Coturnix japonica: one gene and its partners. The protein of the gene in region 5 interacts with the protein of the main gene of each other region in a biochemical or structural test. Links are inferred from orthologs where the notes say so. Each region holds a gene or a part of one and is shown on either strand. Other genes may lie near its edges. The genes, in order: RICTOR, CTNNB1, LRP6, NFE2L2, GSK3B, KLF5 and NIN.

Region 1 (4,232 bases), on a different chromosome or scaffold from region 5:
AACCTTGCTACAGTTGCCTTTTGAATCCTGAGTAAAAGATCTCCAACAGATCTAAAAGTCACCACTCCCACATTTAAATTTTGTGTAAGAACAATACACATCAGAACAACTCAGTGTTACACAATGTAAAAAGGTTACTAAACACATTCATTAAAATCCTGATTCTGTGAATTTCATAAACAGATAACACTACTTACAGTAACAGCTGTGTAAAGTGTTTGGACTATTAAGCCTTCGTCCCACATTCTGTTGATGAAGCTACACTGGTTTTAATGTTAAAGACACTAAAGCAATAGTGTCTATGCCATGATGAGGAGGTAGAACACAAGACTCTGCTCCTTTAAACTGAAAAAAACTCAGAACTTTTCCCATGAACTAAATGCATTTCTAAATTAGATACATACAGATACAGATAGCTTTCAGTCCAAGGTAAAACTGTTTAAGAATAAAATTCTAAAAATAAACAGTAGCCAAAAACAAACAAACAAAACAAAACAAACAAAACATATTTAGAGATGAAACTGTTGATACGGCCCAACTTCAAGCTGAAAGCACTATTGATACTGCCAGCATTAATACTTCCTTTATGTAGAATTTACACTGAATCAGTAAGGTTGGAAAAGACCTCAAAGGTAATCTAGTCCAACCGTCCACCTACAATCAATATTGCCCACTAAACCATGTCCCTTAGTACCACGCTAAGGACCACACAAATGCTTCTTGAATGCCTCCAATGACTCAGCCACCTTCCTGGACAGTCCATTCCAGCTCCCACAACTCTTTCAGAGAAGTTTTTCCTAATATCCAATGTGAATCTCCCCGGTGCAACTTACGGCCATTCCCTCTAATTCTTTCACTGTTATCTAGAAGAGGCCAACCCCCATCTCACCACAAACTTCAGGTAGTTGTAGAGACCAATAAAGTCTCCCCTAAGCCTCCTCTTCTCCACACTGAACAATCCTAGTTCCCCCAGCTGCAACTCCTAAGGCTCATGCTCCAGTGCCGTCACCATCATCACTGCCCTTCTCTGGACACAATCCGTGACCTTGATGTCTTTCTTGTACTGAGGGGTCCAAAACTAAACACAGTTCTCAAGCTGGAGATTCACCAGAGCTGAGTAAGGGGGATGACCACCTCCCTGCTCCTGCTGGATATGCTATCTGATACAAGTCAGGATACTACTGGCCTTCTTGGCCACCTGGCTCATGTTTAGCTAAGCATCAAACCAATGCCCCCAAGTCCTTTTACTCTGCACACTGTTTCAGCCACTCTGCCTCAATCCTGTAGCATTGCCTGGGGTTGCTGTGACTAAATTGAAGATCCACTACTTGGTCTTGTTGAACTTCATCCCGCCTCAGCCCAGCAATCCAGTCTGCCAGATCCCTCTGTAGGGCCATCCTAGCCTGAGGCACACCAACACTTCCTCTTAGCTTGGTGTCATCTGCAAACTTGCTGAGGGCACACTCAATGTCCTCATCCAAGTCATCGATAAAGATATTGAACAGGACAGGCCTCAATACTGACCCCTAGGGAACACCAGCTGGATTTAACTCCATTCACCATCACTCCTTGAGCTTGGCCATGCAGCCAGTTCTTTACCCAGCAAATTGTAGCTGTCCAGGCCTTAGGCTGCCAACTTTGCCAGGGGAATACTGTTGGAAACAGTGTTAAAGCCCTTGTCTAGGTACACTGTATCAACGTTTCACAGCCTGCTTTCAGCTCATTGATTATGTTACTTCCTTGTATAGCTCCTTGCAAAATGGACCTATTCATGAGTGCAGCTGTCCTAGCGCTGAGCAATAAAGTACTGCAAGCTCCTACTTCATCCCCTGCCTCAGACAAAGATCTTCTGCCCACAGGAGGCTTGCTGCTGCTGAAGGCAGTTTGTTTCCTGCATTTATCCTGCTTCTTGGGAGAGCCCGGCCCTCCCACCAGCATGCAGCAAGACAATACATTCAGGTAGGGAACAAGCTGTTATTTGTCTAAGCGGGAACTAGTTAATGTGTAGCACGTTATTGTTGTTTCCTTCCTCTCATCCCCCGCGTACTTCCGAGAGCAGCGGGTAGCAGGGCAGGTCGGCAGACAAGTGGCAGATGAATACCTCCAACACTGCAGTGGGGACCTCAGAGCGGCCACCTCAGCTGCAGCAAACCCACACGCGCGGCCGCGGGAGCAGCAGCAGCAGCGGGGCTCCTCCAGGGCGCCCGCCCGGCCCCAGGCTGCGCTGCGACTCCATCCGCAGCCGCGGAGGCGCCCCCAGGGTTACCCTGCCGTCTCCTCAGAGTACGGGTCCACGCACAGCCTTCCTCCCACAGCCAATCCCGCTCCCTACAGCCCGCCGGCAGCCCCCGCCCCGCTCCCCGAGCCCCCCGGTGCAGCATCCAGGCCCCTCGGCCGGCCCCGAGCTGCAGGCAGCTTCCCCTCGGCGGGACGCGGCGAGGGGACAGACGGCGACCCGCATCCCACCGCCCCCGGGCCGTACCTCGGCTGAGATCGAGGGGGACGTTCTCCTCACCGCTGTCGTTGCGACCTGCGGAGACGGGGAGAGAAGCGGAGAGCGCGTTAAGCGGGCGGCGAAAAAAGAGCCAAGGGAAGAACAGAAGGAGGCAGCGAGGGGGAGAAGAGCGGGTGAGAGGGGCGAGAGGGGCACCGGGAATGAGGCGGCGCGGCCCGGCCGGGCGCATTACCTCGGATGCGGAGGTGCCTCAGCGAGCGGGCGCGGAGGCTCACCGCCATGTTTACGGCCCCGCAGTCACAACACCGGAAACCTCGCCCGCTCTCGCGAGAAAAGCTCCGCGGAGCCGCCACGGTCGCGTACGGCGCCTCCGCCCCGCCCCGCCTCCCGCCTTCCCCCCCCCCCCCCCCCCCCCCCACATCGCCCACTGAGGGGGGGGGGGGGGGGGGGGGGGGGGGGGGGGGGGGGGGGAGGTGGCTGTGGGCGTCGCACTGTGGGCCCGGCCCTCAGGAGAGGGTGTTTCTGGGTGGGTTTTCTGTTTATTTTGTGAGGTTTTCGTGCTCGGTTTTCGTTTTTCTACAGCTGCACTTGCCCCCGTGGTGGCTCGTGGGATGACGGGTGGCAGCGTGCATCCCTGTGTGTGCAGTTAAGAACAAAAAGGAAAATAACATCCCTTCGTTGCGCTGTTTGAGTTGCGGTGGGTCCCTGCAGCGTGGACCTGTTTGTTTCCCTGAGATTTGTTAATAAAATCAGCGTATGTGTGAAACGCTTATGCTGAAGGAGGGCCCTGTGCAGACCCAGCAGATTATCCTACACCTCCTTGTCTTTTCCAGGCAGAAACCCACCCTACATGCACTCCCTGCAGCCCGTGCTGAAGTGCAGGATGGGCCCTACAGGCATAGATCCAACGACTGCAGTGAGTTTCAATGCTTTGGCTTTCCCTCCTTGTCATGGGTTGTCTTTCAATTCAGATCCTAAACCACCACGCTAAAAACTGGTGTTCTAAAAATTAGCACTGACTTCAATGGTTAAAAGTAGCTTCTCTCTACAGCCAGAGCAGAGGGGTTGTGGCGTTCCTTTCAACTTTCAGCTCATGATATGCATATGAGAACATTATTTTAATAGGATTATGTCACCTTTATTTAGTCTATAAAGCCTTTTTCTACAATTTCCTATTTCAGTTTTCGCTTATTAAACAAGAGACTAATGTCCTTGATGGATTCCGGGTTCACAAAACTTAAAGGTAGAAATAATAAGATCTCATTCATGCTTAACACAAGACCAAAGTGTAGCAGACTTGCTTTAATGGTTTCATCAATTTGCCTCAGGGGTTCCCTTTGAAATTTCATGTCCAGGGAACCCTTGACTTCCTGAAAATGCCAAATTAACCACCGCTTCTGGTAGTAATACTGCATCCTGTTTACTAGAGGTGCTGCTGGGACTCATTAATTTCACATCAGCTTTGAAGCACCGTGGAGTGATGGCCTTGTCTTAAGCTTTTCAGTTGGACTTGAACCTGTAATCTGCATGTGAAGTGCTGGTTCCATGCTGCACTTAATTCTTCCCTAATAGATATATGGTCAGACAAACACACTGCTTTGTGGTAGAAAAACATTTTCCAGCACGGACATCAAGACTTGTTGGAGTGATATTTAAACTCCAGCTGACTCTTCTAGCATTCTGTGCCTGCAGAAATGTGACACTGTTTAATAATCAAAATAGTTCTCTGAACTCTTTGCTTGTTTTTGTTTGTTTGTTTGTTTCTTCCTGTTTTCCC
Region 2 (3,500 bases), on a different chromosome or scaffold from region 5:
CTAGGCACTCCTTAAAACCAGTGAGGGCTACGGAAGTTGGCTATGGTGCAACATTTGTCTTTGAAATGCAGTAAATCCTTTTTCTTCATTATTCAGATCCATATTACTGACTTTGACAATGTAATGTTTCTAGTCCTGCCTCCTTCAGGAAACCTGAGGAGGAGCTGGATGTAAAGGAGCTTTATGATCTTTGTGGGGTTGGGGTTTTTCTCTTTGTTTACCTTTTACCTCAGGAGAGGCAACAGCACAAACCTTTGCACCTAGGCTGGGGTTGTTTCTGTCAGAGGCAGCAGTTGGCCTTAGTGATACGCACTGGGAGGAGTCAGCAGCTCCTCTGGGCTCTGTTCTACCCCCTGCTAAGAAGAGAAGGGAGTGGGAAGCGAGATACTGAAGAACGTTCAGTTGCAGAAACCCTAAAAGCAATCGGAACGTACTGCTTTTCCCTGGCTGGCTTTAATCTGTGGTTATTTTTAACTTTGAGGATTAAATCCAATTTCACATCTAAATTAGGAATGCAGGCTGGAATTGCTGGGGGGCTTTATGGTTGTATGAAATGCAGATTAGGACGTTAGAAACTTTGAGGTGCGGCAAGCAGGCTGATCTAAGGTCAGTGCTTCAAAGTCACACTGTATCTGACTGATAATGCGCTTCTGAACACTGGACTGTTCTCACTGCTAACCTGCAGGTGTTCTTCAGCTTTGTTTTTAAGTGTTATTGCCATTCAGTACTGTTCTGTTTCTGCATGGAAGGTGTTAGTGGGACTGGCAAAGTAATGTATGAGGCTTGTGAGGTGCTATCAGGATGTTGTATTGGCAGTTCTACTCACTTAGACAGCCAGGAGAACTTATAAATTAATGGTGAAGTGATAGTTTGAGTTAGTTTCTCTTTCCATTTCTTTACCAGTGCTTACTCCCAAACTTTTAACAGCGTCTGGAAAGAATTGTTTTGTAGCATTTAAGGTAGTGGTGGGGGGAAGGATGTGGAATGCATGAAGCAGATGAAAGCGGCTCATCTCCTCCAGGCTTCAGAGTAGGATCCATTTGGAAGCATCAGCATTTCCAACTGCTTAGCAGCATATTTACTGTATGTTGTGTTGTATCTTAAATCATCTCCGTGCTGCTTATCTGCTTCACAGGCAAATCTGCTGTCCATTTTAAAAGAGCCAGGATAGGGATGCTGCCAAAAATGGTGGGAGCGCTAAGTCAGGACAGGCAGGACTGGTGTTTGTGCAGCAGAGTAATGAGTTTGATCAGGAGCTGCTTGGGGTATCCTGCAAGTAGCTCAGACAGTGAAACGCAGCCTTTCCTCAGCATTGTGTAGTGCCTTTACTGAGAGCCCTGAAACTGCAGGCATGTCTTCTATGGAATTACCATTTACTAAAAGCTGCTCCTGAAGGAAATCCTTAAACTAAGTCTGTCTTTATATAGACTTTATACAAATATAGCGTCAGATGGACTTCGTTCTCCTGACACAGTACAGCAGACCTGTCCTTGCCTTTACTTCATTGTCTAGGAATGTTTTGATCAGCACAGCTCTAACACCGAGCACAGACTGAAAGCTGATTGCTGGAAGAGTTGGTTTCGCTCTCTTCACTAGTTACCACTACAAATGTTTCTATTTGGCTAGCTTCCAGAACAGGCTGTCATTGGCCCTGTGTTAGTGCTGGAAAAAAAACACTACAATAAAACTGATATAGACTAGTAACAAAATAAACCCCAAAACAACGGTGTTGGACTGCAGGGGGAAGGGGAGCAAGTGGAAAGCATGACAGCATCGACTGACCCATTGTGAAGCAGCAGCCTCAAGTTTCTCCTTCAGTGTTAATGAGGAGACAGCTACAGTTGTATGGTACTAGTGCTTTGGTAGTGTTTGGTGATATTAGATGGTGGTGCGTATGTGATTTGATACAGTATTTAATCATAGCTCAGCCTTCCATGCTTTGGATTTCAGGGAAAAAAAATTAGTTTGAATTAATGTATGTATCTGAAGCAGAATTTTTGATTTTTTAAGACTGGTTCAGTTTTCTATTTTAAGTTCACAAAAGAGTGTTTTTATATAGAAAGAAACCTTTCTTCTTGTGGTACAGGAAGTGAGGAAGGAGGTTCAGTTATGAATTTTTCTAACACTGAAATGATAGTAGATTGCCTTAAATGGTCGTTAAGCTTCCTTGGCACAAGTCCTTATTGTAGCCCCATATCAAGCAGTTTTGCTAATATCTTCAGAGTGGTTTTCTGAGAAGGGGATGAGCAATTCCAACATTTAGCTCTTGTTTCTGCAGCACATCCAGGCCATGTAATGTAATGTCTGTACTTCATCTTACACAAGGATAGAGAAGTAAAAAATGGCTCTATCACGGTCATTTTTCACTTCTTTTTCTCTTGTGGCTTTAAGGAAGTGAATGTATCTTACATATAGCCTGCCAGGAAAAGTCTACGTGATATATCTCATTCTTCTGTGTCCATAGGGGGGTTGCTAATTAGCACTGAATATACTCACTTTATCAGTGACGTGGCAATATGTGCTAAGCTTTAGCTTGCAGTTCTACTGTCAAGATATGAAATCCTGTCTTACTAGCTCTGATTAGCGTTTAATAAGTTCTAATCTTGCTCTTTTTTAGAGTCTCTGAAAGGTAGCAGGAAAGAGTTCTGGGAGCACAGCAAGGAACATGGCAACCCAAGGTATATAATTTATTACGCTTAATTTTTTATTAGACCCTACCAGTTGTAATAAAAAAGAGTTAATCTGGCTCCTTACTTTCCTTTTTAACTCTAAGTTGCTTGAATGGAATAATGCCTACTGTACAGCAGCATTTAATACCTTACCACAGTAACTTAAGCCTGTAGAGAGGTTTGTCATCGTAAATGTTTTGAGTCACTTAAGTATGGCCAGGTACCTAATCATACGATGTGGAAAGGGAGCCTTTAAGCAGCAGACTAAGTCATAACAACAGTGATTGCTCTGTATGCTAGTCAGGCTTATAGGTGTCTGCAGTGTTTTGATATAATGTCTCAGTTTAAAATGGCTGTCTCACTTTCTGTGCTACACTCAGCTGGGCTGAGGTAGTTGCTTATAATTGTTTATTTTACTGTAAAATCCTAGTCATGTCTTGAAGGACTAATACATGCTGTGACTAAACCAAATTGTTCAACTATTTCTTACAGCTGATTTGATGGAGTTGGATATGGCCATGGAGCCAGACAGAAAAGCTGCAGTCAGTCATTGGCAGCAGCAGTCATATCTGGACTCTGGTATCCATTCCGGTGCCACAACAACTGCTCCTTCTTTGAGTGGCAAAGGAAATCCTGAAGAGGAAGATGTGGACACAACTCAAGTCCTGTATGAGTGGGAGCAAGGGTTCTCTCAGTCCTTTACCCAGGAGCAAGTTGCTGGTAAGGCCTCCTCTACTACACCAGCTTGTTTAGATATGCAACTTAATAATACTGAAAATAAAATACTGAATCATTATTAATCTAGAAGAATGTTATTTCTGTTTGAGTTAA
Region 3 (4,103 bases), about 5.6 Mb from region 5:
ACAAAAGCAAGCCAAGAATACTTGGGAAGGTAGAACTACCTCTTTAACACTTTTTAATAAGTTGAAACCTGTTTCACACTTATCTGTAGTTCCCTGACAGATGTGATGCCACTGCTACTGCCTCTTTGCAATTGCCAGTTACCTAACAAGAGCTTGACTGGTTTCACAGCTGCCATGAAGAACACACAGAGTGACCAGAGGAAAGGTCTTACTGACTTGTCTGTCCAGATCCTAGAGGAGCAGCCTCAGGAAACACTGCTAAAGTTCAGAGTCCCCCAGATCAAACCAAAGACCAAGAGAGGAGCACAAAGGCCGGGCGGGTGAGACTGGGCAGATTCCAGGAAAGCAATCCCTTTCTCCTATCGTACAGCACAAGGGAGAAACAAATCAAAGAAACACATTCACACAAACCTCCACAGCCAGCTGTTGTGACATCAGCTCATCTCATACTAATCTAAATAGCTGCCTTTGAATAGTCAGTATGGTCTGCTTATCACAGTTCTCAGATTACTCGACAGAAAGGTGCCTTGGGGTGTGCTTCCAGTTCTGGATCAGAAAGGTCCAGTACTTCTCCAAGTCCTTACTAGTTCATAAGGTACCACACTTCCAGGCTACCAGTTTTACCCCCTTCCAGACTGATAAGCCAGTTTTCTTGCACTAATAATCACAGTTCAGTTGTAAGCCTCTGTCCATTTGTGTTGTGTTTGTTTTTGTTGTTGTTAAGTAAGAGCAGGGAGGCGAGCTCTCTAAACAGAGGATGCTGTAATTCACAAACATATTTTCCAGGTTTCAGCCTCCAATGCTGAGTTTAAACTCCAATGCTGAGTTAGTTGACTTAGCAGCCTTCACAGCACCAAATTCACAAACCAAGTAGCGAACGTCATCACTTCAGCTCTACTTTCATGTATAAACTTATTCATACTTATTCTGGCACTGCCTCTGCCTCATTAAGGAACAGCTGACACTTCGTATGAACTCAACACATCTTATTCAAACCAATTCTGCCTGCGAAGACGTTGTTTATTAAAAAGGATGTATGCATTCATATTTTATTCTTGTTTCTTCAGAGTTCAGCTGTTCCTGCTGCTTATATCATCCTTAAGTAACAATTAAGGAAATTACTATCACGTCACAAACATAAGACTATGAATTTAGGTGGAAGATCCAACAGAAGGAACACACAGAAACAGAAGAAAGGGGACTATTGCTCGGATACAAACATCTTGGCAATAGATAAAGACGACAGATGTGAAGAAATGACAGTCCAGATAGTTCACAAACTGAATGTTTCTTCAAAGTTTATTTAAGCATCACTGGATACGCTAAAAAGAGCAGCAGGACACGTCACTGTTCTGAAATTCATTTGAAGAAGTGGCTGTCGCAGCTCTGATATCATGCAATGGTGCTGCCATTTGAATTAAACTGCAATTGAGAAGCAAATGAGTGGTTTATTAAGAACAGGTATGGTCGTTACATAATAAAACTAACCAGGAAACTATTCCTCTCCCTGCTCTGGATCCAACCTTACTTTTGAAAACTGAAGTTTCCCCGCTCCAATTGGAAGCGAACTGTTACAGTGTATTTAAATAAGTATACTTGTATCCTTACAAACAGGATACAATATGGCAAACAGATGCATAGGAAAAAAAAAAAAAAAGAAGGGAAGGGAGTATGGAAGAGTGGAAAATTTTTTGTTTTGTGGAGTATCGAACAACCGGCTACTGAGCAGTTCCTTCAGCTCAAAACACCTCTATTGATCTTTCGTGGATAAATGTTGAGAACGGAGTAATTTTCTATATCAAACACGGTTGATGAACTATCAGTTATTAACCACTTGCATCCTCTAGCGCAGAATAAGATGAGAAAATTGCAAGATGATGGATGCAAACATCGCAGGTGATTTCTTCCCAACAGTAAACAGACTGAAACCGACGCAGGAGTTAAGTTCACAATACCCAGAGAAACCCGGTTTTAACGCCGAGACAGAAATCCTCCTCCTGAAGCAGGAATCGCAGAGGGGGGCAGCGGAACCCAGGCGCCCCGGGGGACCGGCAACAGCCCCTTGCCGGGCACCGGGGACCGATAAGGAGCCGCCCGGCAGCGGGGAACCCACTTCTAGGGGAAGCCCCGAACCGCCGGGGCAAAGGAGGAAAGGGGAAAAGAAGGGAAAACGAACAGCTCTGGCGAGGACACGAAGAGCGGCGGGGCGACCCGAGACACTCGCGCCCGAGCCGCGTTGCCGCCGGCAGGGCCGGGACCGCGGAGGGAGCCGGGGCCGTTCGGTGCCTTTTTACTCTCTTTTTATTAAAAAGCCAAACTTGAAGGCGGCAACAATGGGCCGGCCCCGCCGGCAAGCAGGCCGCTCCCCTCCCGCCCGGGCAAACATGGCCCCTCGCAACACGGCCGTCAACTTTTCCCCACCGCCTCCTCCTCCTTCTCCTCCTCCTCCCGCCCCCCGCTCACCTCGCATCAGGGAACAAAAACTGCAGGCGAGCAGGCTCCGCAGGACGGCCCCCATCTTCCCTCGCTCCGCGCTCTCACCGGCGGGGCGGCGGCGAGGAGCAGTCCCTCCGCTGCCACTTCATGCTGCCCGGCGGGCGGGGAGGCGGGGAGGAGGGCCGGGCAGCGGCGAAGGGCGGCCGCCGAGCCCCCCTAGCAGGCCGCTGGCCCCACCGCGCCGCAGCGGCACCGAGCGCTCCCCTGCATGCCGGCCTCCGCGCCGCCGCCGTGGCCGCTCGCCATCCACTCTCCGCTCTCTCGCTCGCCCGGCCTCCGCCTCCGCCGGGCGCGCACAGGCGCAGGGATACAGCCCTCCTCCTCCTCCTCCTCCTCCTCCTCTCCTCCTCCTCCCCCGGCCCGGCCCGGCCTGGCCCCCGCCCCGCACTGCGCCGCGCCCGCCCGTCTCCGCGCTCCCGCCGCACCGCCCGCCTTCTCGGGCGGGGAGCGAGCGGGCGGGCAGGAGGCGGCGCGCACGCAACGACGGCGGGGAAGCGCCCGGCGGCACGGCGGGCAGCTCTGCCTCGGGCGGGGCGTGGGGCGAGGGCGGGCGGGCGCGGCCCACGGGCGGCCGTGGGCAGGGCCAGGGGTCGGACGGGGGGAGCCGGCCCGACGCCGCCGTCGCATTCCAGCGGGACTATTTCCGCGGTGTTTCGCACGCACACGCCTCCGCCGCCTTTTTGGGTGCGATGCGGCCGTCGGAGCAACACCGGCCCGGGAGGGACGGGACTACTTTCAGTCACACAGCGGCGGCGGCCGCACAAAGGCGGCTGATCCCCTCCGCCCGCAGGTGAGGGCTGCTCGGCCGCTGTGGTGGTTCCCGAGTGAAGGGCGGGCTGCGGTGCCACAGCCTTTCCTCGAGCATCTCTGTGGTGCTGCCCCGTGGGCGAAGATACTTCGGTATTTGTGCTACATCTCACGGGACGTCCCTCCTCTCCTCCGTTCCGTGGGATGAAGCTACGAGGCAGAACGACTTGAAGCACGATTTGAGATCCTCGCGTTCAGAAGTCCGTATTATTTTTCAGGGTTGTTAGGAACTTATGGAAACATTTAACTTTTAATTTCGTATCTGTTGAACATATATTTTCATAGCTTTTCTTGTGATTACAGTAGGAGATAACATCTGGGCCAGATTAAAGGCCCAGGCATTGCAAACCGGCTCTGACATCAGACTCTGGCAGTCATGTGATGATATCAGACTTAGAGATTCTACTGGGGAAAAACTGCAAGTTAAAACTTTTTAGAGAAAGAAGTATAAGTCTTTATCAGTGACACTGATGATGGAATTGAGTGCACACTCAGCAAGTTTGCTGATGACACCAAGCTGAGTGGTGTGGTCGATACGGTGGAAGGAAGCGATGCCGTTGAGAGGGACCTCGACAGGCTGGAAAGCTGGGCTCGGGTGAACCTAATGAGGTTCAACACGGCAAAGAGCAAGGTTTTGCACTTGGGCTGGAAGAACCCCAGGCACCTGTACAGGCTGGGAGGAGTGATCTTTGAGAGCAGCTCGGCAGAGAAGGACCTGGGGGTCCTGATGGATGAGAAACTGAACATGAGCCAGCAGTGCGCTCTTGCAGCTCGGAAAGCAAATGGGATCCTGGGCTCCA
Region 4 (3,500 bases), on a different chromosome or scaffold from region 5:
TCGTAGATGAATAATTCAGAAGCGAGCCCTAAAATCCAGATCCTGCAGTTTTATCCAGAGCATATTGCAAATGCTCTGAGACTAGGAAACAGTTTAGAATCTGCTGCAGAAGGAGACAGTGAGCAGCTGGTAAACTACTGGCCCTTAATGAATCTATACTACACTGCAGCATCTCCAATTACTGCGGGACTTAATTAGTTCATTTTACCCTCCAATCTGATGAGACCGAACATTGTCTTGGGCAGCCACTGCAATTATTTCAGCTTCTTCCTTGCTGGCCATTAAAGCTGAGTTTGGTCTCTCCCAGCAAGGTATAATATATATGTCTTAGGTGTCAGAATGCCCACGTTGTGTTACACGGGTATTATATAGAACTGCCTGATTCTAAAAGAAAGTAAGCTTTTTTTTTTTAGCAACCGGTAGAAGTACATCATGTAATGTGTATGTATGAGTACAAATGGCATTGAACTGTTAATGAAGAGATTATGGTCTGCTCAGATGTGGACTCCCACTAAAGCCATTGCCGTTGTACGGAAGCAGTCATTTTGAAAGGCAGTGTGATGTGACGTGTAGGTTACTTTGCTTCGCTGCCTGAAAACACTCTTAACAGAGAAAGGAATGTTTAATTTGATATGGTGGAAAATGTAATGTACCTTGGGTGTAACTGCTCACTGAATCAATCAGCAAAGTCCTGTTCAAGTGAAATATGATGTTTATATACTCGTCGTTGTAGTAAGTTGTTGGACTCCTTTCTCAGCCAATACAACAGGATGCAAGAAAACAGCCACAAGTTGTGCCAGAGGAGGTTTGGGTCTCACACTAGGAAGAATTTATTCATGGAGAGGGTGGTTAGGCACTGGAATGGGATGCTGTCGTGGCTTTGGCAGGAACAGACTTAATTGTTGGCTGATGATTTCTGTGTGGTGTATTTTTCTTAGAGAAGAGTCCAAACTTCACCAAGAAATATTGTTTGAACAGCATCAAAATATGAAAAATTACTCAGAGCCCAATTGATTAATAAAGTTTGACAGCTCTTGATACGTGGTTTATACTCAGCTCCAAACCAGTCACACTTACAACGTCAACTGAAATTAAGCTTGGAATTACAAATTTTTAGCGATAGTCTTAATAATTTTGCCAGGCACTCCCATGATGTTGTGTGAGGTGGGGACCTCCGGCTTTGTAGCACCGTTCTGCTGATCTTAAGATTCATACTTGATGCCAGGATGGACCATAAATAGTTAAAAACGCATTTTGAGTATGGTTATTGTAGCAACTCAGACAACTCCTTGTGATGTTCTTAATCAGCTTTTACAATTTGATAAGATTATACTGAAAAAGAATTACATGGATAAACTTCTTAATTTCTGTTTTTTTTTCTTTTATATCATTTTTTGTTTGTTTGTTCATTTTTTAGTTTCTTACTGTAATGTAATATCGCTTCATGTATTCTGTGGGATAACATAGGAAAGAATACTATCTGGTTTGTGTGTTGCCTTACCAACTGCAACAAACTGCTTAGTTTCCATGACCCAGTGTGTGGGCTGCAGCAACCAAACGTTCAGTTCACACACTTCAGGAAGGTCATATGGAGACATATTTCATTTAGACAATTTTGTAGGATTAAGAGAATGAATCTCACTTACATGAGTCTACCTGTTTAACGCAGAATTTAAAAGCCTTCTTATTGTTTTAAACCAGTTCTACTGGGGAGGAGGCTTGCTTCAAAACGGCATTTCTATTACAGGACATGAACTTGATTGACATCCTTTGGAGGCAAGATATAGACCTTGGGGCAAGGCGTGAAGTTTTTGATTTTAGTCAACGACAGAAGGAGTATGAACTCGAGAAACAGAAGAAACTTGAAAAGGAAAGACAAGAGCAGCTCCAGAAAGAGCGGGAGAAAGCCTTGCTGGCTCAGCTGGTGTTAGACGAGGAGACAGGTGAATTTGTTCCAGCTCAGCCAGCTCAGCACATTCAGTCAGAAAACGCTGAACCACCAATCAATTTTTCTCAGGTAAACTCTGATTGTGTTTGTGAGTGTGTTTAAAACACTTTTTCCATCCACAGGAGGGTATAATGCTAGTGGTTGCCTAAAATGAATTTGCATTTGTTGCTGTAATGGAAGATTGTTCAGTTATTCAAAGATGCAGTAACATTTTTTCTTCACTACTTTCCTGTTTAGAGCACAGATACTTCAAAACCAGAAGAGGCCTTGTCCTTTGATGACTGCATGCAGCTCTTGGCAGAAGCATTCCCGTTTATAGACAACAATGAGGTAAGCGCTCAGTGCAGCGGTTACACGGGTTGTGTGCCAGGGGATCAGTTTCCTATTTTCTCATACCAGGATGTGTCTGCAGTGAAATATTAATTCGTGATACAATTTGAGTGCTGTCCCTAAGCCATCTGTAACTGGAATAAAGCCGTGTCGTGGGCTTGAACTAGGGCTGTATCAGGAGCAGATGGCATGGCATGGTGCTCTTGTATTCCTTGTGCTTATGGAGTCCTGCAGGCCATTTTACACTGGCTGATGGCAGTCAGGCTAGTTGCTGCAAGTAGCAGAGTTGTGCAGTTTGTTGCAGTGAGCTTAGTTCAGCTCTCTGCAGTTGGTGTATTTGGGCTGCTTTACTTTGATGTACAGACCCAGACTATTTGGCGAGTAAAAATAAGATCTTCATCACTCAGTTCATACTTTTTCCTGTTTCTGTCCTTAATGTGAAATAATGTGAAAACTCATTTCATGTGAATACTTTTTAGATTATTTCATTATATATAGTAAATGCTTTCATTAAGAAATGCCTATTTATTCTGTAGAAATGGTAAAACAGCAAAAGCGGATTTTTGCTTTGGAAGATTCTAAGTGTATGTTTGTTTGTTCAACACTCCAGGCTTCTCCATCTGCATTTCAATCACTGGTTCCCGATCAGATTGATAGTGACCCAGTCTTCATTACTTCTAATCAAACTCAGCCACCCAACTCACCTGGTATAGTTCCACTTGCTGATGCAGAGAATATGCAGAACATAGAGCAAGTCTGGGAAGAGTTATTGTCCCTTCCGGAGTTACAGGTAAAAGTTTAGTATAATAATCATCAGAACTTCATCATGTTTGACAAATGATTGTTTGCATCTGTATGCAACCTGTTACAGCACAACCATGGTGGAAATAGGAGCTGATTGGAAATAGACACTTCTGAATTATAGAACTACAGCATAAATTGTTTCTGCAGTCATTACTGTAAACGAGTTTGGTTTTTTTTCTCCTAGTATTTAAGTATTTTAAATGCAAAAGTAATCATGTAGTATTTACATAAATTTTATCTAAGAAAAGGGTTTGTATAAATAAAAATAGAATGTACAGATATATTTCTAACAACACTTGGCTCTTCTGTTTATCTCATTTAACTATTTAACTGTATATTTGTTGGTTGAAACTAATTATATAATGTACATGAACTGAGTATTTCAAGGGAACAATAGACAGCACAAAATCACTGAGTT
Region 5 (4,075 bases):
CAGAGGACAAGACCCTGATGGGAATCCCCTTCCATTCAAGGCTCAAGCTTCTCAACAACTTCCGAGCACAAAGTCTAAAAAGATGGAAAAGTCAATGGCCACTCCCCCCTTTCACAGAATCACAGAATGAGCCGGGTTGGAAGGGACCTCAAGGATCATGTAGTTCCAACCCCCCTGCCTGGCAGGGCCACCAAACATACACCTTTACTAGATCAGGTTGCCCAGGGCCCCGTCCAACCTGGCCTTGAACACCTCCAAGGACGGGGCATCCACAACCTCACTGGGCAGCCTGTTCCAGGGCCTAAGCCTGCCATATCCTGAGCAGAAGAGCAATCACCACACTCCAGCTCTCTAACACAAGGTCCAACACACCCTCCTCCATTCCTTCCTCAATGCTTCCACCTCGTCCTTTGAATCCTTTCAAAGGAATGGAACTACTGCCGGGATCAGCTAGAAGGTGGTCACCAAAGCAAGCGTGACCTCACCACCTCATTTCACCACCACCCCAGCCTTACAAAGGCGAGCAAAAAGGCTGGCATAGAGGATAGGCTTTGCTTCCTGGTGACCTGGAGAAGGTCTGAATCAAGATGGGGATACAACAGCTGCCTACAGGACTCAAAGAGCAGCAATCCATCCATTTCCATCTGCTTCACAATCTCAAGAGAACCAGTAAAATATCACCCTTTCTGGCAATCAGTGGCGCTGCTCTCTTACAAAGGAAAATAAGAAGTCGAAACTTCCTGCACTGTCTTACACGGATAGATTAAGTGAAAAATACGCCTGCCTTTCCCACACAGTCCTTGCATGCGGTTCTCTTGCTTTGTTCTGACATTTTTTTCCAGACAGCAGAAGGACCAGGAGCACATGACTAGAGCGACTGGGGAGGAGGGGCTGGGGGGGGGGGTTATCACAAGTGCGTGTGCTTTATGCTACGGCCTTTGTTTCTCCCTCCGTGTTCCACACTTGGGATCAAATCGTATTTGCAAACTTGTTAGTCTGCATCACTTAGCACCCGCTTCGAAGGCGAGCATCTGTCTGGTTTCTGACCTCAAACAAACAGGAAAGGAGCATCAATGACCTTTCAAGAATCGAGCCGTACAGCTCGAATAAGGCAAATTTAGCTTTGGAGCGTGGCAGGGCTAAGTGTGGCTATAGCGTTAAACAGCCACCTGCAGAAATACCCAGCGACAAAACCTGCTTCCTATTCCACGCTCACGTGAAATAAATCGATACATTAAAATGGAGTCTTAAATATTCCCCCTTCCCCCCTCCCCCCCCGTGTGAATTAAGATCTTTAATACATTTGAACCAGATCAAACACAACCCGTTTTAGCAGCATATAAGAGTATAAAGGGCACTCGGAGTGCAGCAGGCACCCTGATCATGCAGATACAAAGCAGCAGCTCCAGAACCTCAGCCCAATATTCTCCTCAAGGCTTCAACCGCAGCGGAAGTACATTTTGATGCAGAAAAACGTCAGAATTTCTCTCATCTGTCAAAAAACCCCCAGCCGGGCAGAGCCCCGGCTTGAAAAGCCTCCAACACCAAGAACCAAACCCGCACACAGCAGTGCCAGGTGTGACCACACGGGATATCAAACGGATCAATCAAACCTTAACGCCCATCAAGCGCTCCAGGTCCCATAAAGACCCAGCCCTCCATTTCCATAGGGGAAAAAAAAAAGGGGGGAATATTACTGAAAACAAAGCCCGTAGCATGAATCGGCAATGATCTGACTGTTAATAGGCACGTATTCAAAGAAACCTTCAGGAATTATTTGCCATTCAAGAGATATAGTTCATTGTAGGTGACCCGCAGCTGGGCCTTTCTCTGGTCGTACCGAGAAGCAATGCCCATTCTCCATTCATATAGTGTGGCCGAGCCCACCAGCTGCAATGCAAAGGGTGGGCACCCATCAAGCACCGATCATTTCCAGCATGCCCGTGTGGAATAAAGCACAGGCCTCGTTCTTCAAAATATCCCCGTTGAGAAAACCTGGGCAAGGCAGCTCGAAACAACCACTCGCAAGCCACAATGAGGATTTTCTTCCTCCCTCCCGTTGGGGATCATTAGCAGCGTATGATACACCCTTTGTAACCCCCTCGGACGGCCTTTGTAATAGCCCCCCGTTTTCTTCCGCCTTTAATAGGCCGGGCCGTGGGCTTCCCACACCTGATACAGAGCTCCCCCCCCACCTCTTCCATCTCCCTCCTTCAGAGGGCACAAAACACCTCATTGGGACCAATGTCACGGCCGTACCCGCGTGCCCGTCATTCATCCCCTCCTCCCCGAGGCAGGAGGCAGAACAGGGGTGCTGGTAACCCCGAGGAGCCCCCCGCGGAGGCGAAACGGCACGGCCGGCAGGGGCCGAGGGCAGGGCCGGGAGCGGCCTTTTTGTGTCCCCCGCAGGCCCGGCCGAGCTCGCGGCCCACCCGAGACGAACGCGAGGCAGGGCAGGAGGGCGGCAGGGAACGGCCCGATACTCACGGCTGACTTTCATGCTGCCGAAGGCCGAGGGCTGCTGCACCGGCTTGCAGCTCTCCGCGAAGGAGGTGGTCCTGGGCCGCCCGGACATGGTCTCCGGCTCCGGCTGCGTCCCGTCGGGCTGTCCGCCTCCTCCGCTCTCCTCGGGGCTGCTCGCGGGGCTGTGTGCTGCGGGCTCAGCGGGAGGCGAAGGGCGAGCTGTGCCACATGAACCGCCGGCCCCTTCCCCCCCGGGGAAGCCCCCTCCCCTCTCGCTCTCCCCGCCGGCCTTTCCTCGCGTCTCCTTTCTTCTCCGGCCTCGCTCCTCCCGGCGCTCACAGCGCCATCCTCCCGCAGTGCCGGTGGGTCCGAGAGCCGCCTCCTCCCAGCCGCAGCCCCCCGGGCCGGCCGCGAGCAGCGGGGCTGTGCTCGGTGCTAGGCCTCGCTGCCCCCACCCTCAGCCCAGTCACATGGGGCGGAGGCTCGCGGCCCGGCTCCTCCGATCCTGCCGCTCGGCTTCTCTCTTCTCCTTTTCCCCTTTATGTCTTTTGCCTTTTTTCTTTTTTTTTCTCTCTCTCTTTTCTTTTTCTCCTCGCCTCCTTCCTCTCTCTGCCTCCTGCCCTCTCCTCTCCTTCCCCCTTCGCCACTGAGGGAGGGAGGCGGCGGGACTACTTTTCCCCCGGCGGAGGGATCTCGGAGCTGCTGGATCCGCCGACGGGAGGCGATGCGGCCCCGCGCAACGGGATCCGGCGGCGGCGGCGGGATCCGCGGCGGGCGGAGCGGTGTGAAGCGGCGCGGTGTGCCCGGCTGGCTCGCAGTGTGTGTGTGTGTGTGCTCTCAGTGCGGCGCTGAGGCGGCTCCGGCGCGGCTCCTCATTGCTCCCGCAGGGGCAGCTGGCGGCGGCTCACGCTGGGCAGGCTGCAGTGCGGGCGGTGGCCGGCGGCGGCGGTGCGGGCCATGGCGGCGGCGTTGGCTCCCAGCTCGTCCTCAGCCGGCTTCAGAGCGCCGGCGGCTCTCGCTGTTGCTTCCCCGGGCGTCCGAGGCGCATGAGGAGCCGTCCGCCCGGCTGAAGCTTCCCGCCGCTCCCTTCTGGCGCCGGCTGCCTCTCGCCGGGCCCCCCTCCCCGTTTCTGTTGGTCGCTCCCTTTGTCCCCGCTGCTGCCTCCGCTGCGTGCCGGGCTCCCGCTGCTGCGCTCTGTGTGTGCGCCAAAGCCGCGCAGCCGCCTATGCCCGTCGCCGCCCTACGCTGCGGAACGGCCCTAGGCGCCTTCTGTGAATAGCCACCCGAAGCGCCCGACGCACTCGTTAGCCCCCAGCCCGAGGCCCTGACGGAAATACCCGAGCGTCGTCGGGACCAATCCCGAGGCGGTTACGGAAATGCCTGTGACGGATCGGAACCAATCGCGAAGCCCTTACGGACGCACCCGAATCCCCCCGAAGCCAGGCGGAGGCCCAATCGGAAGGCGCCGCCACCGCCCTAGCAGCGCAGTCGGGCGGCCAATAGGAAGAAAGCCTCTCTTCCGGCTATTACCGAGCCAACCCGAAGGGAGCCGAAGCCAGACAGCCAATCGCAGGGCGCGCTGTCTCGATTACGCTCCGCCGATTGGTTCACG
Region 6 (2,545 bases), about 68 Mb from region 5:
TTCCAATAAAAAATACTGAAAAGGAGATGTGGATTGTTGGGGGGGACATGACATTGAATAAGACTTCTTTGGGACCCTCCTGTTTTTCTGGGACATGAAGGGGACTTTGGGAGGAGAAAGTACTTTTGGGCAACACTAGATGGGTGTGAACAGCTTTTACCCATTTTGAAAGTAGGAGAGAACTCCTATAGTTCTTGTATACATGCCATGAGTATTTTTCCTTTCCAGCTACGTGTCTGTGGATGGACTACTGGAATTATTTTCAGGCTACTGCACAATTCTGTTAAAGTTCTAGTGGCAGAGAAGAGCCCTGAAGTAATAATCTTTTCACATTTATTATTTTAAAGAGGGCTGGACACAGAAGGGCAAGGTACTTTCCAAAGAGACAATCCCTCCTATAAAGAACAGCCATTCTTGGCTTTATATTGCTGCGATTTCCAGCTCATCCTGCAAAAACACAAAACTTACAATTGTCAGGAGCTACAGAGAACACACAAACGCACATTAGGCACTTTGTTTTATTTTGCAAAAAAAAAAAAAAAAAAAGTCTTTTATATATAAACCATTTCATTCTCTCTCAAAACATTCTACAACTATACAGCTGTTTGCTCCAACATTTGCATAGGAAATACCACAATACAAAAATAAGGTAGGGGGGAGGCAAAAGAAGCAAAACAGCAACCAATTTATGCATGTGTTTCCACGTATAAACATTTGAAGCCTTAGAAAATTATTTACATCATTTGTCAACTATTTACATTAAGAGCAACATTTCTAACTATAACAAACAAAACTATAATTTATCAAGTATATGTAAAATTGTCTTAAAAAAAAAGTCTATCATATACCACAAATAAATAAAGACAAACAACAGTTTTCACAACGCTAGATTTTCCTGCGAGACCCTTTTTTGGTATTTTGATTGTTTATTTTACCCTTTGGTTGACAGCTTAATATTACAGCTTGTGAACTCCAGACACTTTTACTTGGTTTGTTTCGTTTTCTCCTGTTGCCTGGCCAAATCCTGCACAGGCTAACCTCATCTTTGGCCCTTCACTTAATGTTTCAAGGCTGAACACTGTGGATCAAAGTCACTGTTAGCATAAAAGGGCACCACTTCACTGACTTCAGTGGAGTTTCAGCTACCTTTGTCAGCAGTTAATTTTCCCCCGTGCGTATCCATTTGAACAGTGGATTAACTAAACTGCACTGTAATTTTAAATAAAATTACTGTATCCTTTACCTTCTAGTAAATTACACGCAATGTCCACATGAAAACAGATCATACTGGTGCTGAACCAGCTTAGTATGTCCGTATATGAAAATTGCATCCTAAATCCTTCTTTTTAAAGTGATACTAAGTTTAGCTTATAGTAAGAGGTTTAACATTCTTTATACTGTAACTACCCCCCCGTTTAAGCTTCCAACGTTTACTTTCCAGTTCACTTTAAATGTTTTACCCTTTTAAGAAATTTGAAAACAAAATCCTGCTTTGAATATTCAGTGCACACAATCTGAGTTAACAGGTACAAAACATCCGAATGCCTTGCTCATTTCTCTCAAGAGAAATGAAGCTAAGTTGGTACTGGTTTGAGAGGTATTTAAATAACTTTTAGTGTAAATGTGCCGTGTTAACAAATGTAAAACAACTGTGTTTTTTTTTTGTTTGTTTTTTTTGTTTTTTCCAAATAATTCTTAGAAAACTTTTGTTTTAACCCTAAAAAGCTGATTTGCATATTTACAAAATCTTTGTCATAGCAAACATGCAACATACAGAACAAAATGTTTTGTTCTATGGCTGTTTATGAATTTTTCTACGTATTTCATCTCCACAGAACGACTTAACATTTAAAAAAAAGTACAAGTACTAAACAAGTCCAGTAAAACCCTGACAGATTACAATGCATGGCTTTTCCACTGTGTCCATTCATCTATAGTCTCTCATTAATTTGTTTACTAAACATCGTCACCATAATGACACTGCTTTGGTCAAAACACCTAGAGAGAAAAAAAAAATATGTGTAATGCTGCCGTGTGTCAAGACATAATACTTGTAAAGAGATGAAACCTGCTGACTAAAGCCATATACACCATGTGAGCAAACAAATGACTTGAACACTCTGGTACTGTGATAGTGTCTTCCCTTTTTCTGCATAAATATACAAAATATACATTTTCCAGTTTTGAGATTTCTTTTAAATGGATAATCCATCCTCAAAAATTAAACTAATTTTAGTTGTAGGTTGAGAGTCATTAGGAAATTGCATAGATACAGAACGGCCTCGGCAACAACTATGGCTCTCAGTTCTGATGCCTCTTCATGTGCAGAGCCAGGTGATCAGAGCGAGAGAAGCTGCGGTTGCACACGGCGCACTGGAAGGGTTTAGCCCCGGTGTGCTTCCTGTAATGGCGCGTTAATTCGTCCGAGCGCGCAAATCGCCAATCACAGCCCTCCCACGTGCACTTGTACGGCTTTTCACCTGAAATCAGACAGAAGGAAGAGAAACGTCAGCTGTGCATCTTCTGAAGAGTGCCGACACAGGGT
Region 7 (3,500 bases), on a different chromosome or scaffold from region 5:
ACTCAAGCCTTCTGTCTTTAATTACACTCGAGCCACAATCCACTCTTGACTCAATAGATCTCATCTGCTTTTGCTTTTTAAGGCCATTATAAACCCCAAGCATTGGGAACATCAAAAGAGTGCTCTGCTTAAAAGACAAAGACTTCACAGCACCCTAATCAGGAAGGCTAATTCACTTTCACTTGTAGCCTTCATTATCTTTAATTATCATCATATCCTTACTGCCAAATGAACCATGTTTATATGGACAACAGCCAAGCCCTCCAGGAAATTATCTTTTTAAGTTCTGAGATGCCAAACCCTCCAAGTGGCACTCCTATTGCTTTGGTTTTGCTAGGGGACATGGTGGAAGCAACCACTCCCTCAGAGGAGTGGATATTCTCCTGCCCACCCTACTAATACGAGCTAGAAAAGCCTTATATGTTGCTGTATTAAAGTTTTTAAGTCTCGGTCTTTAATGACAAAGACCAACTGTGAAAAATCTACTGCTCTTGATTAACTTTTGGCAAAGCCTAAGAAAGCAAAACCAACCACAATTGAACAGCTGTATGTTGTACTGACAGGCTTCTGCAAGATTAATAACAATGTCGTTGATAATATACATTACATTATGACACTTGGTTAGAGAAATTAACTATTTCCATTACAATCAAGAGAGCAGAGCCCGTGAAGAGACAGGTTGGTGGCTCTAAGCCAACACCTGATGGTACCTGGATAGGGTGCCATACCTGTTTTGCCTTCTCCAGCTCCTCCTTGAGAAGGCAGTTTTCCTGCTCCAACATATGAGCTTGAACTTTTGTTTTTGACAGCTCCATCTCCAAGGAGGACACCACATTTGATGACTGCAAGAAGTAAAAGGCTCAGATTTCAGTTTGAGAGACAGTAATGTTACACAGAGGGTGCTATGATCAGTGATATGGGTTGGGGAATAGATGCTAATTCCTCCTAATTGCTCCATCCCACTAGAGCCACTTATCCCATACCTTTACTTTATTGTTTTCTAGTTCCTCTTTCAGTGCCAATCTCTCCTTTTCCCACTCTTCCAGAGTACATCTTCCTGCTTCCCTTTCCTTTTGTTTCAGCACCCTTGCCAGCTGTTGGTTGAGATCCTGCACATCTGCTTGGTTTTTGGAGTTTCTCTGGCTCAGTTCTGTGTTTTCAGAGTCCAGCTGCTGGTTCCTGGCCTTCAGATCTGCTACCTGAATTGGGAGAGCAGTGTTAATTAGGACTAATTTTGCACTGAACAATAGATTTATTTTTAAAACAATTACAGTAACATCAGTTGCCTTCAGATTGCATCGTCTAAAGGACTGATGATTGCTCAGTGATGTTCCTCCAGAGAAGCTGATGGACTCAGTCTGCATACCTGCTTTTTCAGATTGTCGACCATCTTCTGAACAGCCACTTTCTCCTTCCTCACTGCCTCTATCTTTTGCCTAGGGAAAAGGAAAGCTCATCAGCATAAGGGTCACTTGTTAATATACACGCCTGCAAAAACAAGCTGGTTGACATCACAATAAATGGTCATTCTGGATTTTTATTTTACACTTGCATCACTGCTTTGCACAGGCTTGGTGAGTACCTGCTTCGTTGACACCCCCATACATCTCTTTCCTAGAAGACTGGGGGCTGGAGCAGCTCTCATATGAGGAAAGTTTGGGGGAACTGGGCTTGTTTAGCTTTGAGTAGACTGCAAGGAGACCTCATAGTGGCTTTCCAGTACTTGAAGGAAGCATATAAACAGGAGGGGGAACGGCTGTTTGTGAGGGTGGGCAGTGACAGGACAAGGGGGAATGGTTTGAAACTGAGACAGGGGAGGTTTAGGCTGGATCTTAGGAGGAAGTTTTTCCCCCAGAGGGTGGTGACGCACTGGAACAGGTTGCCCAAGGAGGCTGTGGATGCCCCATCCCTGCAGGCATTCAAGGCCAGGCTGGATGTGGCTCTGGGCAGCCTGGGCTGCTGGTTGGTGACCCTGCACACAGCAGGGGGTTGGAGCTGGATGAGCACTGTGGGCCTTTGCAACCCAGGCCATCCTATGATACAGCCCACGGGTTAAGCTCCTCCTTCAGCACTAAGATTGAGCAGGAGAAACTGTAGGCCAGGGGAAAGCACAAAGATTGCTGGTGGCACCAGACAGTCTGCTTGCTTCAAAGTCCAGGCAACACCTAAGGTGCTTTAGGAGAAAGGATGTGACTCTGCAGTGAGAGCCTGAAGGTGCACATGTGGTCCCATGGAGTCCTTACCGCATCTCCTCCTGGGATCCGTTCAGCTCCCTCAGTTTCAGGCTGGAAGCACTGCCCTCCTCGTTTAGCAGCGTCACTCTGTTTCTCAGAATGGCATTTTCTTCTCTGAGCTTCTCAGCCTCACATCTGTGGCAGAGAGATGAGACATATGAGAACAGCATCTGTGCATCACCAAAGGAGAGAAGGCACTGAAATCCTGACCCGCTTGTGATCCTCAGCAACAAAGCTGCAGCTGGGTTATTCATATGAGCTGTACATAGGTTTTACATATAGACTGCTTCCCAGATTGCGAGAAAGGGGATATTAGCTGTACAAAACTCCTGCACAAAGTTAGTTACCTAAGATAGCCAGTAGAAGTTTTGCACTTCTATACTGTACTACACCTTCTGGTCCTTAAGGTACCAGTAACATAGTTGTGACTTTGAAGAGCTCAGCACCACCATAAGCAGACTGCTGGCACGGTGGCAGGTTCAAACTAAAAGAGGTGAGAGTTGGACTGGACGTAAGGAAGAAGTTATTTACACTAAGGATGGAGAGGCTCCGGCACAGGTTGCCCACAGAGGCAGCGGTGCCCCATCCCAAGAGAAACCCAAGGTCAGGGGATGGGCTGTGTGCACTGATGGAGCTGTGGGTGTTCCTGCACATTGCAGGGAGTGGGAGCAGATGGTCGTGAAAGGTCCCTTCCAACTGTGAAACCATTCTATGGCTCTGTGACTCTTTAGTGTTAACTCTGTTATTTAGAAAAAGCAAAACAATCGTAGCTTTTCAAGTAACACCCAGTGCTAGAAAGGAAAAGAACAAAGAGCTGATATTAGTAAAAGCTGAAAGCATTCTGAAAACATAACCACCATCTTTTAGACACTAAAACACAGAGGGCCCTGCTGTCCCACATACACACTGCAAAGGCAATTGCATCAGTCGCTGGTATTATGTTGTGCTAAGTCGCATTCAGAGGAACAAGGCACACGTTTATTCCAGCCATGGTTATCCACGTTCAGACACCTACCAGCAGTCAGATTCTGAGGCACTGCTTTCTAGAGCTAAACTACAGGGGTTAATGTGGCAGCTGCTGGGCGGTCAGTAGGGCTATGGATGGTCAGCAGGACACACTAGGTTAGTTTCTACGTGGAGCAGGCAGCAAGCTGGAGTGCTGTGGGGCTGCCACGCTTCCCACAAAGCTCTGCAAGCGTACATTACCTCAAAAGATCAACTTTTTGCTGCAGCTCAGTGCACGTGCTTTGCAAGCCATGCATCACC

The links.
Region 1: of the proteins of GSK3B (region 5) and RICTOR, one has a biochemical effect on the other in vitro, tested with the Homo sapiens proteins (2 studies listed by BioGRID). The link is inferred for Coturnix japonica from reciprocal best matches to the Homo sapiens genes GSK3B and RICTOR.
Region 2: of the proteins of GSK3B (region 5) and CTNNB1, one has a biochemical effect on the other in vitro, tested with the Homo sapiens proteins (11 studies listed by BioGRID and IntAct). The link is inferred for Coturnix japonica from reciprocal best matches to the Homo sapiens genes GSK3B and CTNNB1.
Region 3: of the proteins of GSK3B (region 5) and LRP6, one has a biochemical effect on the other in vitro, tested with the Homo sapiens proteins (2 studies listed by BioGRID, with this or other methods). The link is inferred for Coturnix japonica from reciprocal best matches to the Homo sapiens genes GSK3B and LRP6.
Region 4: of the proteins of GSK3B (region 5) and NFE2L2, one has a biochemical effect on the other in vitro, tested with the Homo sapiens proteins (2 studies listed by BioGRID). The link is inferred for Coturnix japonica from reciprocal best matches to the Homo sapiens genes GSK3B and NFE2L2.
Region 6: of the proteins of GSK3B (region 5) and KLF5, one has a biochemical effect on the other in vitro, tested with the Homo sapiens proteins (2 studies listed by BioGRID). The link is inferred for Coturnix japonica from reciprocal best matches to the Homo sapiens genes GSK3B and KLF5.
Region 7: of the proteins of GSK3B (region 5) and NIN, one has a biochemical effect on the other in vitro, tested with the Homo sapiens proteins (2 studies listed by BioGRID and IntAct). The link is inferred for Coturnix japonica from reciprocal best matches to the Homo sapiens genes GSK3B and NIN.

The regions. Positions count from the first base shown.
Region 1 is NC_029547.1:11,217,096-11,221,327, forward strand, and holds the start of RICTOR (rapamycin-insensitive companion of mTOR), read right to left. Parts: upstream 2,801-4,232; 5' UTR 2,737-2,800; coding exon 2,688-2,736; intron 2,531-2,687; coding exon 2,483-2,530; intron 1-2,482. UniProt on the Homo sapiens protein: Component of the mechanistic target of rapamycin complex 2 (mTORC2), which transduces signals from growth factors to pathways involved in proliferation, cytoskeletal organization, lipogenesis and anabolic output.
Region 2 is NC_029517.1:39,920,525-39,924,024, forward strand, and holds part of CTNNB1 (catenin beta-1), read left to right. Parts: intron 1-2,617; 5' UTR 2,618-2,665; coding exon 2,666-2,678; intron 2,679-3,161; coding exon 3,162-3,389; intron 3,390-3,500. UniProt on the Homo sapiens protein: Key downstream component of the canonical Wnt signaling pathway.
Region 3 is NC_029516.1:66,027,037-66,031,139, forward strand, and holds the start of LRP6 (low-density lipoprotein receptor-related protein 6), read right to left. Parts: upstream 2,801-4,103; 5' UTR 2,519-2,800; coding exon 2,464-2,518; intron 1-2,463. UniProt on the Homo sapiens protein: Component of the Wnt-Fzd-LRP5-LRP6 complex that triggers beta-catenin signaling through inducing aggregation of receptor-ligand complexes into ribosome-sized signalosomes.
Region 4 is NC_029522.1:14,071,236-14,074,735, forward strand, and holds part of NFE2L2 (nuclear factor erythroid 2-related factor 2), read left to right. Parts: intron 1-1,747; coding exon 1,748-2,017; intron 2,018-2,185; coding exon 2,186-2,278; intron 2,279-2,888; coding exon 2,889-3,068; intron 3,069-3,500.
Region 5 is NC_029516.1:71,650,846-71,654,920, reverse strand, and holds the start of GSK3B (glycogen synthase kinase-3 beta), read right to left. Parts: upstream 2,801-4,075; 5' UTR 2,576-2,800; coding exon 2,488-2,575; intron 1-2,487. UniProt on the Homo sapiens protein: Constitutively active protein kinase that acts as a negative regulator in the hormonal control of glucose homeostasis, Wnt signaling and regulation of transcription factors and microtubules, by phosphorylating and inactivating glycogen synthase (GYS1 or GYS2), EIF2B, CTNNB1/beta-catenin, APC, AXIN1, DPYSL2/CRMP2, JUN, NFATC1/NFATC, MAPT/TAU and MACF1.
Region 6 is NC_029516.1:140,002,837-140,005,381, forward strand, and holds the end of KLF5 (Krueppel-like factor 5), read right to left. Parts: intron 2,481-2,545; coding exon 2,302-2,480; 3' UTR 501-2,301; downstream 1-500. UniProt on the Homo sapiens protein: Transcription factor that binds to GC box promoter elements. Activates the transcription of these genes.
Region 7 is NC_029520.1:52,545,041-52,548,540, forward strand, and holds part of NIN (ninein), read right to left. Parts: coding exon 3,441-3,500; intron 2,370-3,440; coding exon 2,244-2,369; intron 1,437-2,243; coding exon 1,367-1,436; intron 1,200-1,366; coding exon 984-1,199; intron 843-983; coding exon 729-842; intron 1-728. UniProt on the Homo sapiens protein: Centrosomal protein required in the positioning and anchorage of the microtubule minus-end in epithelial cells. May also act as a centrosome maturation factor.